Diceros bicornis minor: one gene and its partner. The protein of the gene in region 2 purifies or fractionates together with the protein of the main gene of each other region. This does not show direct contact. Links are inferred from orthologs where the notes say so. Each region holds a gene or a part of one and is shown on either strand. Other genes may lie near its edges. The genes, in order: TADA2B and SUPT7L.

Region 1 (10,554 bases), on a different chromosome or scaffold from region 2:
CTCCTAGAAGGCGAAAAACCTCCCTATCCACACTATCCTCCCACCTGGAAAGCCTTCTCTTCTCCTTTCCACCAAAGGAGATCCTGCGTCCCCGTAATCATACAACACTGCACAAGGTCACACAGCTGTCTCACCTCCATCCATGTCTTCACCACAAACCACATGCTGGGGGATATTCTGTGCCTCTAACACGGGCTGACATATAATAGGCTTGGACGAATGGATGGATCAATGAACGAATGCACAATGCAATGATTATCTACCCATCTGGTATTAGCCAGCCTTTTGTTTTTTATTATTATTATTTTTTTTTGTGAGGAAGACTAGCCCTGAGCTAACATCCGATACCAATCCTCCTCTTTTTTGCTGAGGAAGACTGGTCCTGGGCTAACATCCGTGCCCGTCTTCCTCCACTTTATATGGGACGCCGCCACAGCATGGCTTAACAAGCGGTGCGTCGGTGCGTGCCTGGGATCCAAACCGGCGAACCCCTGGCCGCCGCAGCAGAGCACGCACACTTAACCGCTTGCACCACCGGGCCGGCCCCTAGCCAGCCTTTTGGATGTCCATCATCTACAAAAGTAAAACTCTACTCATGGCATCCACCTGCCTGCAATAATTGGCCTGAACATACGTACACATGCACAAGGCCCTGAGCAGCCCACAGAGAACGTACGTATATTCCTAATTTGACATCTACCTTCAAAGCTAACTTGAACCTTCCTTCCCCCTGCATCGTCCTGACCACCATCTGCAAAGGAGCTTTGGCCATCCTCAAACTGTTCAAGTCCTCTGGCAACCAATCAACGAACCTAAGGCCCATCTACCACAGTCTCTAATCATCATAAAATATTTCACCTTTGTGTTTACGACTGTGTCTGTGCTCCAGCAGGATCTGTATCCTCTCTGAACCTGTGCAGCACCCACCACAAAACCAGCTGCCTCGAGGCTCTCAATAGCCGTGGTGATGTGACTCTGTGGGTCACTGTCAGCCTGCCAACACTACCCTGGCCTCGTCTTCACAGGCGTCTCCCCACCCATCCTCTCTGCCACTCGTCATCAAACACGTGGGCATGCAGTGTTAGAGCCTGGCCACAGTGCTTGTCCCCAAACCCTCCAGGCCTTACTGTTAGCATCCCTCAGCCATGTCCATTCCCGTCGGTCCCTGTGCCTGAGCCCCAGGATAAAATGTGAGCAAATGGCCCCACACTTCAGCAACAGCCCCCAGGGCTCCTGAAATCAGCCCATCCCCATGGACTCCACACAAAGCAGTACAACCCCAAGTCACAGGTCACACGTGCCATCTGAGAAATTAGAATGAACAGTCTCACCTTCCACTACAGCACTGTCCCGATGCGCACACTGCCCTTCTCTAAACTCCACATCCAGCCCGTGAAACCTGGTTCCTGCGTGTACCCGCTCACCTTCCTGCTTCCCCAGCCCACACACTAACCTCCCGCTGAACCAGTCAGGACTCCACTCCTCTGAAAAGCCCTTCCAGTCCAGCCACACCTTCAGATGCACCAGTAAGCTCCCAGGCTCCGACCCATAGTAGTTAATGCTCTTAACACGGAGAAGTTAAGGCACTGACTTCGGAATCAGACAGGCCTGCACCTAAACCCTGGTTTTAGGACGTGAAAAGCCGGGGCATCCTGGACAAGTATTTTAAATTCTCAGAGTCGCTGTTCTTCAACTGTAAACTAAGAACCCATCCCACAGGCTGCTGCGAAGAGCACGAGACATGTACGGAAAGAGTCTTGTCCAAAACAGGCGCATGCTAAATACGGCATACGCAGGACATGCCGCTCATGTGCACGTATCTGGAAATCTGCTCAGAAGGGAACCACACATCTCAGAGCTGCAGAAGAGCCTCCGACGAAGCACAGTGAAGCTCAGCGGGTAGAGCAGCTGGCCCAAGAGAGCACAGCTAGAGAGATACTGGAAGCCCCTCCTCAGAGTGTGGCCCGTGGGTGGCAGCCTGGCAGCTCCCCAGGCGCGGTCAGCATGCAGAATCTAGGCCTCTCCCTGAACCCACCACTGGCTCAGCAAGGAGATGGCCCCACGGCACCCAGGCCCAAGCCCCTCCTCCTCCGGCTTTGTCTCTCACAACAGCTGAGACGTGCTGCCTGCTTTGAGTAGGAATCTGCATTTTAACAAGCTCCCCAGGTGATTTGTGTGCACAGGAAAGTCGGAAAAATACTGCTTTAGAGAACGTCCCCTTCCAGCCCCATGCTTCCTCCAACACACTATAAATGTTTTAGTCCCCAGGCTTGCTTTTCGTGTATTTTCCATGGTACTGCAGGGAAGGCAGTGTAGACAGTACAGCTAGGAGTACAGACTCGGAAGTCAAACTATTTAGTTCAAAACCTGCTGCCAGGGGCTGCTGGGAAGACTTCACGAGAAAGGCAGCAGGAGCTCAGCACAGTGCCTGGCACACAGCAAGGCTCTCGGTCCACGTCGGCTATTTGTAGCTGCTACGGTAGACATAAGCGCTGTCAGAATGGAGCGGGGGAGGGAAGTCTCTCTGGGGCGCTGATATGTAAGTAGAGAGCCCAGTCACGAGCCATGATTTGGGGGGAGAGCACTCGAGCAGAAGAGATGAAAGATGCTCAAGGGGGCAGCAGCTGCGACCCCCTCGGTCTGGAGACACCTTAAGGCCCTGCAGGCCGTGGAGTTTAATCTAAGGAGACCTGGAAGCCCCTGAAGGCGGCTCTGATGGGACGCGTCTTCCAAGATCACTCTGATTACGGTGTCTGGAATGGGCAATGGGACATAAGAACGAGCCAGCAAGACCAGCTGGGAGGCTCCAAAAACGGTCAAAACAAGAGATAAACATCAGCCTGGACTAAGGTTGTGAGAAGCGGTAAGATTCTGGAAATATGTGGAAGAAAGGGCTGCTGCTGACCTGGGCCTGGAAGGACCTGAGGATGGCTCTTGGTGCAGCCGGAGTAGCTGAGTGAGGTGATGCGAGGTCCGGGTATGCGAGGTCCGGGTCGAGGTATCCGTGAGACACGCAGTGAGGAGGCAGGTAGCGGTCTGACACTGACAGCTGCAGCTTAGGGAAGAGCTGCGGGCTCAGGACCAAGCGATCACAACACTTTAAGCCCCTTACAGACAAGGATGAAGCCTCGCTTTCCTTCAGAGTCCTTCAGCATCGTATAATGTGCACAGAGCAGACGCTCAATACACATCCACAAACGGCATTTCAGGACAAAGTGAGATGGAGGGTTCTGGAGGGTGGTGATCACAATGCTGGTGCTAGGTGAGCACTGGTAGAGCTGTGTCTCTAAGGAGCTGGGAGAATAAAGATTCCAGGGCTGCAGAACGGGTACTGGTCCCTGAAGACTGGCTCACTTTATGGAAAGGAGAGCAAAAGGAAATAAAGGCAGGAGGGGTTTGGGAACAGGAACGAGGGGAGAAGTGAGGAATGTCTTCCACCAGCAAGCCCAGCAGGGAGGGAGTACTGCTGGAGAAGTGGCAGCAAGATGACATACTGGTCCAGGGAAGTAGGGGACCATCAGGTGGAAGGGTCTGGAAAGATTAAGGAGCTGGGGTCTTGTCTCTTCTCCCCACTTTTCGTAACGCCTGGAGGTGCCACGTATCTCCGGCAGTCATGGACCAGGATACAGCCCGATTTTCCCTTTCTAACGCAGAGTGGAGAGAGCGCTCTCAGAGACCACCTAGACAAGAGCACCCCGTTTCTCTCTCCAGGTGCCCAGCACACTACCTGCTTTGGTAAAGGAATTCCATCCAGTGCTCACCTTTCTTCTCAGATAAACATCTACAGAAACCTGACAGATGGACAGAGGAAACCCAGGACAGATGGCTCCTCCTCCACGCTCCTCTGCTGGGTACTGACTGAGCAGGCCTCATACAGTCAATGTCCTGAGTGTTGTGGGGACCCAGGGATAAACGAGGGGACACAGGGCACATGCACAGACAACCCCACAGAGCTAGCGGGCCCGAGTACAAAGTAAGCGCATCAGAGACGGTGGGAGAAGCCGCAGGGCGTGTGTGAGGCTGGTCTGGCCTTCACCACCGCTGTTGTCCAGGCAAAACCAACTCCTCGCTCAGCGCTCTGGGTCAAGCTTGCTGACTTGCCTATGTCCACCAACTCCTACTCAGGTAAGGCCGTGGGTCTTGCCCGAAGCCCTCGCTCAGCAACCACCAATTTAAGATACTCCTTAGGGTTAGGAAAATAGCTCTGCTGTCAGAAGGCCACAGTCCAAAGCCCCGCTTTGCCACTTCCTGGCTGTGTGACCTTGGGCATGCTGCTCACCCTCTCTGCGCTGGGGTTTCCCGTGCACACACCGGGCGTGCTACCCGTCCCTGCGCCACCTGCCCTCCGCGCTGTGCCCGAGCGCGCAGGTGCAGGTCGCGTCTGCATTAACCCGGGGGGGACGAAGCCCCCGCGCGTCCCGCGCAGAGCGCCGCCCGGTCCGCCGCGGCCGCTCACCCAGTTTCCGAAGCCGAACTGCTCGATGGCGTCCAGCAGCAGCTGCTCCTCGCGGCTGGTCCAGCCGCCCTCGGCCTCGGGCCCCCACAGCGTGAAGCGCCCGCCGTCCACCAGCTGGTAGCCGTGGTAGCGGCGGTGGTGGCCGATCTCGGCGCCGGCCGAGAAGCACTCGGGGCACAGCTCGATGTCCTGGCACTCGGTGCAGCGGAAGCGCAGCGGGCTCACCTCGGCCAGGCAGTACACGCAGTACTTCTTACCGAGCTCCGCCATCTTCCCCCGCCCGCCGCCCGGGCCCGCCGCCGCCGCCGCCGCCGCCGCCGCTGCGCCCGCCGCCGTCAGCGCGCCGCCGCCCGGGCCCGCCGCCGCGCTCGAGCGACCGCCGCCCGCCGCCGCCGCGGCCGCCGCCACCGCGCCGCCCCGCCCAGGCGCCGCCGGAGCCGGCCAGCCCGGCCGCGTCCCGCCTCAGCACGCAGGCGCCCTCGGGCCCGGCCCGGCCGCCGCCGCCGCCGCCGTCGCCCCGCCGCATCGCGCAGGCGCCCCGCGCGCGCCACCGCGCGGGGACCCGGCCCGCCGCTCTGCGCCTGCGCGCCTTTCGCGCCTGCCGCCCGCGCGGCCAGCGCCGCCTGGAGGCCCCGCCCCGGACTCGGCGCTGGGAAACGGGCGAGGCGCGAGCGAGGCGGGCGCGCCACGCCCCTCGCGGCGCGAGCCTTCGCCCTCTTCCAGTCAACGCCGCCCGTCGTCCACTCGCGCCACCCCATTGGCCTGCTCCTGCCGGGAGGCGGGGAGAAGGGGCAGGGCATCGGGCTGACGCCTGGCCAATCGCCGGGCCCACCGCGCGCGCCCCTGGTTGCCCCGGGAAACCTAACAGCCGGCCGCTCGGGTCCGCGGCGCTGGCCCAGCCGGAGGGAGATGGACGGCCACTCCGAGCACGCTGGGGACTCCGAGGGCGACGACGGAGATGTGGAGAGCCTGGCTTCGCGGCTGTCCGGGATCAAGGCCAGCTCTGGCCCGCAGTCGCCGGCCGAACCCGCGGACGCTGTGGAGCCGGAGCCAGAGACTGTAGGGGCTTCGGAGGGAGGAGCCGCCACGGCCGAGCCCGCCGACCCGGCCGAGCTTCGGGAGGGGCTGGCGGCCGCCGAGGCTGCGGGCGAGGAGGGGCCCGGAGAGCCGGAGTGGCCGGCCGAGGCCGGGCCTGACAGGCCAGGCAAGCCGACGTCCAAAGGCGGGCCCGAGGAACCCCAGGAGGAGGAGGGGGAGGAGGAGGAGGAAGAAGAGAGGGCGGCGGAGGGTGGGAAGAGGAAGGAAGCCCCGTCGCAGGTCTCTCTGCCGCTGTCCACCGCCGGCCAGGAGGAGGCTGCGCCAGCCCGGGAGGCTGAGCGGGAGGAACCGGAGGAGGACGAGAGCGAGGAGAGCGAGAAGGGTGTGGAAGGAAGCCGGGCGAAAACCGAGGAAGAGCCGAGAGGTCTGGACGACGCCCTCGAGGATGAGGATTACGAGTGGAGCGAGGAGGTCAAGAAGCTGCAGGAGCAGCAGCTGCGCTCTGAGCTCCTGGAACAGTACCGCTCCCTGATGGTGGAGCGGAGCCGCTGCCAGCGCTACAACATCTACCTGCAGCACAAGATCTCCGAGGCGCTGCGCAAGAAGAAGGGCCTGGATGCGGCCGACGTGCCGGACAAGGGCATGGAGCCTGAGGCCCCCGAGAAGGAGCAGGCATACCTACGCCATCTGGCCGTGCTGGAGGAGCTGAGGAAGCAGCAGGCCGACGACCTGGACTGGTATCACCAGGAGCTGGACCGGCTGAAGCAGCAGTGCGAGGAGAAGCTCTCCAGGGTGGAGAAGGAGTGGCGAGGCTTCCAGGCACTCAAGAAGCAGGTGGTGATGCAGGCCATGGGCAGCTGTCGCATGAGGGGCGGTCGCCAGGCCGCTCTGCGAGAAGTGGAGCAGATCCAGGCATTGGAGGACAGGAAGGAGAAGGAGATGAGCGCTGTGAGGCTGGAAAACGTGCAGCTGAAGCAGAGCTTGGTGCATTTTGAAACCAGGATGAGGGCCCAGGAGGACTTGACTGAGGGCCTTCTCCTCATCGATTTTGAACAGCTTAAGATTGAGAACCAGACTTTCAATGAGAAAGTTGAGGAGCGAAATGAGGAGCTTCTGAAACTGCGCAACAAGGTGACCAACAATGTGCAAATAATAACGCATGTGAAGGAAAAGTTACACTTTGTGGAGATAGAAAATGCATGCAAAAAGTCACAACTGTTGGAAATTGAAGCTCAGGTGGCCCTAAGGAGGGACATCCTGACTAAGACTAAGCAAGCCCGAGACAGCCTGCAGCTTGACAACATCAAGCTGAATCAGAAGTGTGGGCTTCTAGGCAAGGAATCACTCCTCCGGGACCTGGAAGAGAAGGTGGACAGGACTGCACTGCTCCAGCAGCGCTTAGAATCCCTGAAGCACCATCACGCCGGGCTTACTCTGTCCTGCAGAGGCGTGAAGCAGAAGATCAGGGAAGCCAGAGCCTTTCTCCCCTCCTGACACGATTCAGGAGAAGAGTTGGCAGAACATCTTCCATCTCAGCAAACTTCATGCTTCATTAACTCTCATTCTCCATTTGTTGCCATTCTTCAAAAGGCCTATGATATTTGGGATGGAACTATATTTTGTATTTCTCATAATTTTTCAGTTTCCAAATTAGTGCTAAGCACAAAATTGGGTTAGCAGTCAGTTTTACGTACGTTGAAGTAAAATAGGTCTAGAGAAGCAAACAACAGAGATGATTTAATGTACCTGACTTCTCATAAAAAGCTGTCAAAAGCCTTTTTATATCTGAGCAGTTCCATAATGTCAGTGACCTGACACTGAGAACTGTTCCTTTTCCATATGGAGGAGGGTTCAACAAATGGGCGGGGTACCAAAAAAATTCCTGTGCATTAAGCTAATTATTAAATCCCCTTTGAATGTATTAAACTGTGTAGTCCTGAGTCACTATCTCAATTCAAAGCTCACTAATTCCCTTTTAGATTAATCTGAAATTGTTTTGTATGGAAGTAGCACTAGCTTCTGGGATAATAAAAAATATCCAGGAAACAGGAGAAATGATAAGTAGGAAAAGGAGCTGATGTTCCTTCATCTTTCCTTTTTCAGTGAAAGGAGGCTTGGTCTGTGTAACCATTACATGTTTGTTTCTGGCTCAATGACAGTCTTCAATTCTAATGAGACGTTTTCCTGGATCTGCTAAAGAAATGCATTCATTGGTACAAAAAATGAAATTTTGTTTTCCAGTGAAGACAAAATGATGATTGTATTGTGTGTTTTGCCAGGTGCAAAATATATGGAGTGGTGACTGCTGACTGTCCATAAGCCTTTTGTTTTTAGGAAGATATTTTTGGATCTTGGCAACAGGACCCTGGCTATGCACATCATTTTACTCTATCAAAATGTCTGTTATTCCTTGTGTTAATGTAAGACATACCTGATAGGTCTATCCCCTTAACCAGTGATTAACTTTTTCAGTTTTCTTTGATGCTTTTGGAGCTAGGAGCTTGGATTTATTAATCTTAGGTTGAATTTTGAGAAGTGCAGATTTAGGATTAAAAGTATTCTCCCATCTCTAAACTTAAGTGGATCATAAGAAGAGTGATCTATTTTTGGGTGCTAAGTACATTTAAAGAATGGTGGAAACCCCATCTAGGCAGATAACTCGGTCATAAGAATGTCAAAACAACTATCTTTTGATGACATGATTTTCTTTTCTAAAGTGTGTTCCCTTTGAAGCCAATAAAGGTTGATTAAAATTCCTTTTCTAAGTTCCACAGCTTGAATACACTTATATTGTACTTATCAAACCACACAAACACAACGAGGGGAGTGAAAAATTGACTTCCTGCTTCTATTCTCCTTATCCTCTATAACTCTCCTTCCCTCTACCCCGTTTATCAGACCAAAGTGAAGTAGTAAATCACTGGCAAATACAACTTTGTTTTCTTTGTGCTTCAAATTAAAAGCAGCACAGGCCCCCTGGGTTCTTCTGTGGTGGCAAGGCTTCAAAGTGAAACTGGCAATATGCTCGGTGCCCTCACCAAGCAAGCAGCCTTCATTCTAAGAGTGTCCATCCCTTTGATTCACTAGAGGGAGAATAGGTATTTTCAGCTGATTTTGACCCATTGGCAGGCAGTTACCCACATAGAACCAAACATCCCTCGTCGGCCTTGAACTGGCTGACAAGCAGATCTCTGAAAGCACAAAGACACAGAGACTGATGAGGTTGGCATTGCTTTAAGCTGCAAAGTCACCGATGTTCTCTCAAATTATATTACCTTGTGCTGCAGATGTTACAATTAATTAGAAGATAATCTTCTGTTGATTACTTCATAACAGGGTTCTTCTAATTAGATTACAGGAGAGCTCTTAATCATGAAATAGCAACACATTGACAAATTGTTTCTAAGATAGATTGCTTCTGAGGAAGAACACCACAAACCCGAAAGCACCCTCACCCATAGTCTTGCTGATGTGCCCTTTGTGCCCCACAGCAGCCTGCATTTCACCCCATGCCCGCCTCTGACCCACTGCTTTGTGATTGTCTGTCTAGCTCTCTGTGCCCCAGTGAGACAGAGGCCCTGGAAGGCAAGGACTGTTGGCTTATCATCCTCCCTCTCAGCCAGCACAGTGCCTACCTAGCACATAATCAGTGCTCAATTTGTTGAATTAACATAATCCCAGTCTCATTTTCTGAACATTAAGTATTACTTGAATGCCTATTATATATCAGGCATTGATAAGTCCTATGTCAGATTAAAAAATAATTTCAGGTAGAAAGAAGCTCTCTCAAGTAGGACCACTGAGGGAAATGACGGGGAGGCAGGCTTGTAGTCATGGAAGGACAGTACTACAGATCAGAGCTCTCCATCCCAGCGTGGACTCCCTTGAGGGGGATTTCTCCAGTGATGCTGGAGGCTGGACTAGAAACCTCTAAAACAGATTATTTTATGAATGCTAAAATCAAAGCTTAAACATTTTTTCATCTCCTTGTCAAAGAGTACAGGGCCTGAAAATGCAGGCACAATAAAATCTGAGTGAGATATTATATGAAACTAGACTTTTTAAAAATTAGTCTGAGTTGGTGTCCCCTTGGAGGTTGCAGGTTTTCTGTTTGTTTTTGGGACCATTGGCAGAAGTGAATTGGGCACTACCTGGATAGAGCCCGAGGCATCTGAAAAAGAAACACTTTCTCATTGGTAAACGAAAATCACTTGGTGACTTACCACTTTTGAGATTTTTAAATTATATAAGTGGAAATATATATATGCTTTCTTTTTTTATAATTTCACCTGCATCCATAATTTAGATTTTTGCCACTGGTGGGGGGTGCCTGTCCATAAAATAACATCAGAATTAATGCACCCCAATTTGGTGCTTTTTACGTTTTCAACTTTCCAATAGTCTTAATGTCAGAGTGATAAATCATGCAAATGCTATGAATGGACAGGACTACAGGAGACTTCTTCCGTCATGTAGGGGTGAAGCGTCACAGAAGCTAGCAGGAGCCAGGACTGGCAGGAACAACACTGCTCAAGTTCCCGTCTCCTACTTCGCATGTAATATTCCTTTCAAAGGGTCTAGTTTTTATTTAAATAACCAATGATTAGGGGCCGGCCCGGTGGCGCAAGCGGTTAAGTGCGCGCGCTCCGCTGCGGCGGCCCGGGGTTCGCTGGTTCGGATCCCGGGCGCGCACCGACGCGCTGCTTGGTAAGCCATGCTGTGGCGGCGTCCCATATAAAGTGGAGGAAGATGGGCACCGATGTTAGCCCAGGGCCGTCTTCCTCAGCAAAAAAAAGAGGAGGATTGGCAGATGTTAGCTCAGGGCTGATCTCCTCACACACACAAAAAAATAACCAATGATTAAATATGTGCATATTTTAGTGAATAAGTTAACACCTTCCTCAAGTTTTTTTTTTTCCCCCTCAAAGCCCCAGTAGATAGCTGCATGTTGTAGTTGCACATCCTTCCAGCCACTGCACGTGGGACTCGGCCTCAGCATGGCTGGAGAAGTGGTGCATCGGTGCGCGCCCGGGATCCGAACCTGGGCTGCCAGCAGCGAA
Region 2 (10,674 bases):
ACCTAGAGAAAACAGATTAGCAGAGAGATAAGATATTTACAACCTAGGGCCAGCCCCGTGGCTTAGCGGTTAAGTGATCGCGCTCCGCTACTGGCAGCCCGGGTTCGGATCGACGCACTGCTTCTCCGGCCATGCTGAGGCCGCGTCCCACATACAGCAACTAGAAGGATGTGCAGCTATGACATACAACTATCTACTAGGGCTTTGGGGGAAAATAAATAAACAAACAAACAACAAAAAGATATTTACAACCTATTAAACAACAACAAGATACTATGTTGTAAAAATATTCAAAGTACAAAAATGAGGTTTGGAAATTAAAATCTTGATAGCAAAATAGAGACAGAAAGATAAAGCTGCAGAACTCTCCCAGAAAGAACAAAAAGATATAGAGATAGAAAAATTATATCTAAATAATTATATTTTCAGAATGGAGGGTTTAATAAAGTTTACTTGCTACAGAGCCTTTCTCAGGAATCCATGAAAGCATGTTCCCCAAAACGAGACAGTAGACCAAGAAAAATGAAAGACATGAAATCCATTGAAGACTATCATCATCCATGCCCTCTATTGTTGTATCAGCTTTTTAACCTGCTAAAACTACAGAAAGATGTGCTCCACTAACACAATGGAATAAATCAAGAAATACGAGAATCTGAGAATTGAGAAACAGGAAATCCAACCCTGGAGAAACACAAAGGAAATCTCAAGAATGACAGCAAAATGAAGTCTCAGATAAAGTTCTGCAGCAGGACTAGAGAGCAGTAAGCCCTAAAAGAAGGAGAATAGTGCTCCTCAGAGAAATGTCTCCAAAAAAACCAGAACTGATAAATCAGTTAATGTGAAATGACCATATGGAAAAACACACTGAAAAGCTACTGAAAGGTGTGGGAAGAATGAGCAAGAGGTACTCCCCACCCCCCCAAAAAAAATCAAACACATGAAAAACAAACACAGGTCTTCACTTTAGGAAAAACAAGGAGATAAAACTGCTCAGTTGTGACTAATATTTTGCATAAACATAATCATGTAAATACTAGATACTAATTTAACAAAGTCAACAGATAATGTTTAAAATAAATAGCTCAAAATATAACAGCATACTCTTGGATATTTTTAAATGCCAGAAGAAATAACCGAAAGAGTTAAAAGCCTTCTAGGGATGAAGACTGGGGAGGGGCAACATGAGAAACAAGTATAGTTTGTTTTAAGCCTTTGGTAGTTTTAACTATATATAAATTACTTTGCAATAATAAAAATTAATTTTAGAGTAAATAAAAATATAATATAAGCCTTACTAATAAATGATGGTATAAACAGAGGTTTTTTGTTTTTTTTTTTTTTGTGAAGAAGATCAGCCCTGTGCTAACATCTGCCAATCCTCCTCTTTTTGCTGAGGAAGACTGGCCCTGGGCTAACATCCGTGCCCATCTTCCTCCACTTTATATGGGACGCCACCACAGCATGGCCTGACAAGTGCTGCCTTGGTGCACGCCTGGGATCCAAACCCGGGCCGCCAGCAGTGGAATGCATGCACTTAACCACTATGGCACGGGGCCGACTCCGAGAGCTTGTTTTTTTTTTTTAAATAATTTTTATTTATTTATTTTTTCCCCCAAAGCCCCAGTAGATAGTTGTATGTCATAGTTGCACATCCTTCTAGTTGCTGTATGTGGGACGCAGCCTCAGCATGGCCGGAGAAGCGGTGCGTCGGTGCGGGCCCGGGATCCGAACCCGGGCCGCCAGCAGCGGAGCTCGCACACTTAACCGCTAAGCCACGGGGCCGGCCCCCGAGAGTTTTTTTTTGGTTTTTTTTTTTTTTGTGAGGGAGATCAGCCCTGAGCTAACATCCGTGCTAATCTTCCTCTTTTTGCTGAGGAAGACCGGCTCTGAGCTAACATCCATTGCCAATCCTCCTCCTTTCTTTTTCTGCCCCAAAGCCCCAGTAGATAGTTGTTATGTCATAGTTGCACATCCTTCTAGTTGCTGTATGTGGGACGCGGCCTCAGCATGGCTGGAGAAGCAGTGCGTCGGTGCGCACCTGGGATCCGAACCAGGGCCGCCAGTAGCGGAGCGCACACACTTAACCACCAAGCCACCGGGCCGGCCCGAGAGTTTTTTTTTAAATGAGGTAAATTTAATGCAATGATATGGATAATATCCATGATACATTCTTATGCTAAATAAGTCACAAAAGACTATAAGCAATATAATTGCATTTGTGTATGAGTATTTGTTTTTTGTTAAAGGATCTCGTTCTGAACACACATCTATATGCACAGAAACTGTCTGGGAGAATATAAATAAACAATGGCTACCTTCAGAGAGTGAGATAGGGAATTTTTTCTTGTCACTTCATAGAATTTTATACAATTTACATTTCCCTCTAAAAAAAGGTTTTGTTACCTTTTGTATTAAATTTTCCTTTTTTTTTTTTTTAAAGAAAAAACATGTTCCCACATGCTCACCTGCCTCCTGCCTCAGCAATCCCAAAGTATCGAGGATTCGACAAGCTTCCAGTGAGCATTGGATCATAGCTTCTTTTTTCTTTCCTGAGTGAATGGCCTCAGCCACCAGTTGTTTTCCAGTTGAATCATCCACAGGTAATCTGCATCAGTTTGAAGGGAATTATAGCACAGCACTAAGCTCCAATTTTCATGAAAAAAACTAATACGCTGTGATAATAGTCATGTTTTTTGAGATGGCTTTTTAATCTCTCAGTTCATTTTGTTTTATCTTGCCAAGGTTGGATGTCAAATCTTTTCCTTCTCTCTTACTCATCCCACCCCACCCCCCATTAATATGTGTTACTAAACTATCAAGGCCCAAATTCAGGAATAGCCTAAAATTAAGACTAAAGTTACTCTCTGGGTTATTGTCTATAATCGTAAATTACAGCTGTAATGGACATTTATGAGAAAAGAACATACCTTACTCTACAGAGCCAAGTGCTATGTCCCTGTTCATCAAATTCATATTCTAATTCTTCTCCTGTGGGAGGAAGAAAGACAAAACAATTTTAACAGCATGTGACAATTACTAGTTGATACAAGGAGAAAACAGAGCAAAGGTTAAATAAGAATATCAAGTTCCCATATCACATTGACTACTTCTCATTCCTAGGGATTATCATCCAATAATAAAATTAGGATGAGCTTGAGGCAAAGAAGAGCAAACTCAGATCAAAACAATCAACTCTTCATTCATAGCTTTGACCACTGTACAGTAGCTTTCACACTTTTTATAAGTTGTAGACTTAAGCTGTTAATTCATCACAGTTGCCTGGTTTTTAGAAGTACATGTGTTAAGTGCAGAACACAACCAGTTCATATATATATTCATACACACACACACACACACACACACACACATATTCTCTCAAAGCATCTCTACTGAAACAATTGTCTGTGGAAACAATCTTTAATCATATAAAATGAAAATTCAAGGTAAGAATTACAAAAGATCAGGTGAATTAGAAACAAAAAATTACAAGAAGTTGGGCCAATCTCCCCACCACCCAAGTCTAGGATTTTTCGAGAAGAATGAGACAAGCCAGGAAAAAGTACTTCCTTTTTTCCAAAATGAGAAGAAAGACTAACAAGATTTTTACTATTTTCAAAATAAACCTGATGCAACTGACCACAAGGATAAGAACTAAACAAGGAGGAGAGCAGATAAAATATAGCATTTCTAAGTACCTGAAGATCTAGAAAACAACACTGCTGTGGATACATTTTGCTGGCAGCGTCAGAATCTATTTACATACCTTCTCGGTCAAAAAACCCTTGGAGAGCCTTTTTTGGATCCTTTATATAAAAGGCCTCCCTTTCCTGCTGAAACTCTAAGACAATGGGGTTCTCTTCAGCCTCATCCTCTACAGCATCCTCTCCTACAGGAGATGGGAAAGAAAGAAAAGACAATCAGACATAAGAGACTATTTCAATGACATCCATTATTCTTTCAGACTGCATAAAGATACAGTTATCAGTCATGAAAAGAAAGGGATGGACCTGCAAAGGATAACCACAAAACCACCAGTAAGAGTATCTTCAGGTTTTCTAAATTGTATGACAATTAAAACTTGTTTTCATGGCACCTTATTTTTTTTTTTTCCATCACTACATTTTAAAAGCAAAATTACCTACCACATTGTGTACAGAAAAAATCTAAGCTCCTCAGCCTGGCATCCTTGTTCTCTTACACCCGGGTCTAATACTTGGTCTCCAATAGAATTTCCTAATGCATATCGTAACTACCAAATAGACTGGTATACTCATTATTCCCTTAAAATCATCAATCCCTGCCCTGAATACCACTCCCAATGCTCAACTTCCCAAGGGATACTCTTCTTATCCTTCAAGTCCCAGCACAAAACCCTTCTGTTTATAAACTTATAAACTTTCCTAAAGATCTAAGTCAGTGCTGCCCAACAAAAATATAATGAAAGCCATATGTGTAATCTTATATTTTGTAGTAGCCACATTAAAAAAGTAAGAGAAACAGGTGAAATTACCAAGTAATCAATATAAAAATATTATGAACATTTCACATTCTTTTTTCACACTAAGTCTTTGAAATCCAGTGTGTATTTTACATTTACAGCACATGTCAGTTTGGACTAGCCATACTGTAAGTGCCCAATAAGCACATGTGGCTAGTGACTACCATATTGGACAGCGAGGTCTAAGTCCTCAGTGATGGCTCCCTTCTCTGAACTTTTACTCCAGCATATTTATGGTTTCTAGCTTTTGTCTGGCACTTACCACAAGTAATTTCATTTATCCTGTCTTCCCAACAACATATTAAGGCTATCTTCTATCTTTTTATATTCCTACCTCCTAAACACCCATCTTCCAAAATGTCTGGTGTTGTGGAAAATTCAATTTATTCGTTTGGCTAAGGGACCAGCTTTCCCTGATTAGATATTTCACATTTCAGGGTATTTACACAAAGTACAAAAGATTCGAGGTAATATCCTATATTGAAAACATTCCATTTTATTTGATTGAATGTAGTTCCATCCCCTCCAGTGATAATCAAGGTCAGTACTTATATATTTTTTTAAATGGTAAAAAAAATAAATTGTATGCTGAAGAACAGTTTTGAACAAGACTGTACTGTAAAACACATTAGAAGAAATCCATAGTGCTCATAGTTCAATTTCTTGACATCAGAAAAGTAAGGAATCTCTCTGAGTTTTGATAACTTCATGTGCAAACAGTATTTGTCCTACCTATCTCATAGAGTCATGAACAGCCGTATGATTAAAAAAAAAAAAAAGATACTGCTAGCAATGAATTTAAAATATTAACCTCTGGCAGCAATTGTAATTTCTTACCCATTCCCCAGGTGCAGCCCACTTCATCATCTTGACCACTAGTATTTTTCTTCCTTTCAGTGGTATCCATTTCCTCCTCTTCATCTGAGTCTTCTCCTAGCATCTTCTTCTCCAACATCATTTGCTGCTGCTTGCGCAGTTCCTTCAATTGGGTGACTGTCAACTCGGATTCTGCCTCTCGGTCTTCCTCTGGTCCCTGATGAAACAAGCGAAAGAATTCTTTTAGAGTTCAGGATTGTTGAAGTCACTTTCAGAAATATGGCAATGTATACAGAGATCTGGACATGAAAGGCCAGATTCCACTTTTGTAATCACTAACTGGGAGAATCTTCTTCCTCATTGAAAGCTTAAAGAGCTCAGGAACCCAGCCCGGTGGGCTCCAGAAATTTCAATTCTAGGTTTTTCTACTTACCTGAAGAAGAAAGAGCCGGGTGCTGCCTCCAAAGCGAAGAACATGCCCGACGTGGATCCGACAATAGGTGCGGGGTGGGACGCGGGTTTTGTTAAGAAAAGTGCCGTGGGTGCTTCCCAGATCGTAGAGGTAGAAGCCGGGCCCGTGGCCGTCGCATTCTCCCTCCGGGCCGGGCGCCCGGTGCTGCAGCACGGCGTGATAGCGAGACACCGAGGGGTGCTCCAGGCATACGTCGCAGCTAGGCAGCCTCCCGAAAAGGCAGCAGCTCGTCCCTTTCAAGCTCCGGGTGCCAAGGATGGTGCCGCCCTTCAGGGTCTCTAGGCTGTAGGGGGCTGTGGCAGGGCCGCCCCACGGCGGCTCTCGGTAAGGCGGGGCCCGGCCCGGGCCACCAGGGGAAGGAGCCGCTGCGAGGGGCCGCGGCTGCTCCTCTGGGGGACTCCGAGCCTCCCCGCTGTCCGGCGGGACATCAGGCTTCTCGGAATCGGGGTCCAGCAGCGCCGTGGGCCTTTCCTTCTTCACCTCGTCAGGGTTTGAAGGATTGCGGTCCGCGGCCTTGTCCCGCACCGCCGGGGGCACCGGCAGAGCTGGCTTCTTGAAGTCTCTACTGAGTTCTTGCGAGGCCAGCGGCTCGCACTGAGTGGGACTATCAGCCATCCTCAATCGGGTGCAGTCTCGAAATCTGTTCCTAGGAAACGTCACCCTTCGGTCTCTACGTTCCTCTCCGCGCCTCCCTCTCCCCAGCTCCCAGAGGCTTCTCTGGCCAGCGATGGTGGAGTTGCTCCTTCACGACCCAGAACGCTGTGAAGAGGTGAGTATCACGGGAAGATCATAACAAGAGAAAAACAGAAAAAGGCGGTCGGGGTGCTGTCAGAATGGGGACATCTTTAGAGGTTGCAACCGGATTGTAATAACTTCCTGTGGCTTAGCTTGATTGAGAAGAAACGCTTCCGGCAGGCTTGGACCGCTAATCAACAAACCAGCCTTCCGGGCCTTTCGCGACCCTCGCCTCAGGCCTCTGGGGCCGTACGGCCGCCCAGCCCGGCTCCTGCGCCGCGGCAGTGAATAGTGGCGCCTCCGTGCCTCGGTCCAGGGTCAGACCTGCCGTCTGCCGGCCGCTCCGAGCATCAGGCGACCCCAGGATCCTGTGATTGGCGCCTGCGCCCGCTGACCGTGACCGAGGAGCCCCCCGAGGGACTTGGGCATTGCTTGGGCTTGGTGCCTCCCCTTCGTGCTCCTTTGGGTGAAGTTAGGGAAGAGGGCGGTTTTTTTTTTCTTTCTGTCATTTTGTTCATTCATTTATTCGTTCATTTTTATATGCTTTCCGAAACCAGTTAATGAGGCAACGTAGTGTAGTTGTTAAGACTGCAGACTCTGGAGACTGACTGTCTTGATTTTCCCTCTCAGCTGTTTCTGACATTAGGCAAGACAGTGGGCCTCACCTTCCACATCTGAAAAATGGGATAATAATTTTGTCTACTTATAGGGTAGTTGGGAGAATTGAATTAAACAGTAAAGGCAAAGGCTGGCACATAGTGGGCACTAATTAAATGCCAGATAATTACTGTGTTGCAGACACTGTACTAAGATTGTGGTCGTGAGGGATAGATGAGAGAATAAAATTGATTGCGATGAATACTAGTTAAGTCTAGGGATAAATGCTGTGACAGAGATATGCAAAGTGCTGTGAGAATATAATGAAGGAGGATGTACTGGGTAGGTGATGGAAGGTGGTGACTTAAGCTATACTTAAGAATGAAGACAAGTCTGCCAGGGATGTGGTGGGTGGCAGGGCATTGCTGACAGAGATCACAGCTTAAAGAGTCAACTGTGGAAATGCATGGCATTCTTAAAATGAGTAGTATGATACCGTTAGAACTAGGGTGGTCATTGTCTCCAGGAATCTCTTCCTTTGTGCTTCCACTGCACCAGGTCTGCACCTCTAGAACAGCACTAAGCCCACACTTTCATATTGAAGCGTTCTGTTTATGTTTTTCTCCCTCACCCCAGGTCGGAGATCTTGGCCTTAGTCTTTGTCTCCTCACATAATACCTGGCATTTGATAAATGTTTGTTGAATTTGAAGAGACATATGGGCAATGAATCTGGAAAGGTGAGTTGAAGCCAGTTTGTAAATTTTGTTGAATGGAGAGCCAAAGAATTTTGACTGACTTTTTCCTGTAGACAATGGGAAGCCATTAGATCTGAGTTAAAAATATTAAGTCTAGCAGCACTATGGAGGATAGATTAGATATAAGGCGAGACTAAAATAAGGAATACCAGTTAAGAGGCAGCAGAAATCTCCCAGATTCTTCCCTATATATGTCAGAAGTTGCACGCATAGGACCATTTAGACTGGTGGTTAATAGCTTTTTTCACCAGATCAGTTAAAAGGTTCCCATGCCTGATACACATAGTATAAGAACCACCTCTGTCTATCTTTAACTCTACTCCCCTTTCTCCCACTGATCTGGGACAGATATGTCAAAATACTCTTGAGAAATATTCCAGGTCTCATTTAAGTATCTTGTCTTGAAAATTGTTCAGGATTGGGCATGATGGTAGTTCTAGTAATGAGTTAGGGGGGTGAGATGGAAAACATGGACACTACAGCCCCAGATACTATTGCAGCTGTTAGTCTACTAGTGACCCAAATTCCACCTTGTGGTTCAGTCTAATATGAATTGTCATTGTGTGTGATTGTGATGACTAGCTTCTAGCAGTTATATTTCTCTTAATTTCTTCAGGGAGAACATCTTCGGTCCTACAGTGTTGGTGACACTGACATTTTTCTGAGTGGTCCTGAACAACCTACTTTTTATGTAAATAACGGGCTAGACTTCATATTTTTCACTACAGAAGTTTATAACCTACAGTTGCCAGAGATTTAAAGACACTAGTTTAGGATATCATCTACATTTAACTTGGAAGCTCTTCCTTTCTTATTCCAAAATGTTGAGATACTGGGGAGAGATACCAATCTCATCAAGCCAGGCCAACAGAAGTTCCTTTGATTTGCTCCCACGGGAGTTCCGTCTGGTGGAAGTCCATGACCCTCCTCTGCACCAACCCTCAGCCAACAAGCCCAAGCCCCCCACTATGTTGGACATCCCCTCAGAGCCATGCAGCCTCACCATCCATACCATTCAGCTTATCCAGCACAACCGACGTCTGCGCAACCTCATTGCCACAGCTCAGGCCCAGAATCAGCAACAGACAGAAGGTGTAAAGACTGAAGAGAGTGAACCTCTTCCCTCCTGCCCTGGGTCACCTCCTCTTCCTGATGACCTCCTTCCTTTAGACTGTAAGAATCCCAATGCACCATTCCAGATCCGGCACAGTGACCCAGAGAGTGACTTTTATCGGTAAGGCAAGGCTTTGCTGTGTCTTACTTTTTTCAAATAATCTTCCCAGCAACCCTGTTAAGCATGTAATAACATTTCCATGAAGAAACTGAGGATAAGGGTAATTGACTTGGCCACAGTTGCTCAGGTAATTAGTGGGAAGTCTAAGACTTGAACCCTGATCTTCCAAATCCAAAGTCTATATTTTTTTATTTTCTGATGCAACAGATATTTATTGAGTGCCTGCTATGTGCCAAGCACTTTGCTAGGAGCAAGGTACTACACTGGTATGTAAAATAGGCCATGGCCTCATAGTCCTCAGGGTCTAGTCTTTCTGTTTAATTTAAAATGTATATTATGGGTTTGGCTCAGAGTCCTCAAACTGAGATTCATGGACTCATTCTCGTACTATTAGGAATCCACAAGTTCTATATAAGAATTTTTTAATTGTATGTTTGCATTTTGATAACATAGTTTAAGAAATAATAATATAAAAATGTTCTTGATCCATGCTACTCAAAATCAACATCACCTAGGAGCTTGTTAGAAATTCAGAGTCTCAGGCCCCACCCACACCTGCTAAATCAGAATCTTCATTTTAACAAGATCTCCAGGAGATTCATATGGGTATTTGAGTTTGAGAAGCCCTGCTCCAGATCCTCTGAATGACTACCTTATAACCTAGTGCTACTACTAGATTTCAATGTGTAAGTTTGCATTTGGTGCCAAATTACTTTTTTTCTTTTCGTTTTGAAATTTGTCAGACCTATAGAAAAGTTAAAATAATAGTACAATGAACACCCAAATACCCTTCACCTGGATTCACCAATTGTTAACATTTTGCCACATTTACTTTCTCTCACATATGTGTGTGTATACACACATATACACACAAATATAGAAACATATATATACATACACGTATACCAAATATTTTAAAGTGGCAGACATTACAATATTTTACGCCTAAATTCTTTCCCTTGTACTAAGAATAATTTTATTATTTTCCTACAGAATCCCAATACCATTGTCACACCAAAATAAGTGAACACTAATTAAATAATATCATTTAGTAAGTCTATATTCAGATTTCTCCACTTGTCCCCAAAATATCTTTTTAGATATATTTTTCCCCAATCCAGGACCTAACAAAGATTCATGCATTGCACTTGGTTGTTAGGCCTCTTTAGTGTCTTTTAAGCCAGAATAGCTTCCTCTTTTTTAAAAAACATGATAGTAATCTTTTTTAAGAGTTTGGGGGGCTGGCCCAGTGGCACAAGTGGTTACGTGCACACGCTCCGCTGCTGCGGCCCGGGGTTCACTGGTTCGGATCCTGGGCGCGTACCGACGCACCGCTTGGCAAGCCATGCTGTGGCGGCATCCCATATAAAGTGGAGGAAGATGGGCACGAATGTTAGCCCAGGGCCAGTCTTCCTCAGCAAAAAAAGAGGAAGATTGGCAGATGTTAGCACAGGGCTGATCTTCCTCACAAAAAAAAAAAAAAAACAGTTCGGGTCATTTGTCTTGTAGTAGAATGTCCCACTTACTGAATTTGCTGATTATTTCCTCAAGATTAGATTCAGG

The links.
Region 1: the proteins of SUPT7L (region 2) and TADA2B purify together in Homo sapiens (affinity purification with mass spectrometry; 3 studies listed by BioGRID and IntAct, counting the BioPlex papers as one, with this or other methods). This does not show direct contact. The link is inferred for Diceros bicornis minor from reciprocal best matches to the Homo sapiens genes SUPT7L and TADA2B.

What each region holds. Positions count from the first base shown.
Region 1 is NC_080747.1:4,831,685-4,842,238, forward strand, and holds the start of TADA2B (transcriptional adapter 2-beta), read right to left. Parts: upstream 4,742-10,554; 5' UTR 4,727-4,741; coding exon 4,457-4,726; intron 1-4,456. Other genes in the region: CCDC96 (coiled-coil domain-containing protein 96), read left to right, coding at 5,366-6,988. UniProt on the Homo sapiens protein: Coactivates PAX5-dependent transcription together with either SMARCA4 or GCN5L2.
Region 2 is NC_080751.1:55,261,008-55,271,681, forward strand, and holds the start of SUPT7L (STAGA complex 65 subunit gamma), read left to right. Parts: upstream 1-6,499; 5' UTR 6,500-6,558; intron 6,559-6,707; exon of another isoform or gene 6,708-6,990; intron 6,991-7,000; exon of another isoform or gene 7,001-7,757; 5' UTR 7,758-7,859; intron 7,860-8,493; 5' UTR 8,494-8,698; coding exon 8,699-9,111; intron 9,112-10,674. Other genes in the region: SLC4A1AP (kanadaptin), read right to left, coding at 2,469-2,608, 2,931-2,991, 3,767-3,889, 5,339-5,534, 5,751-6,404.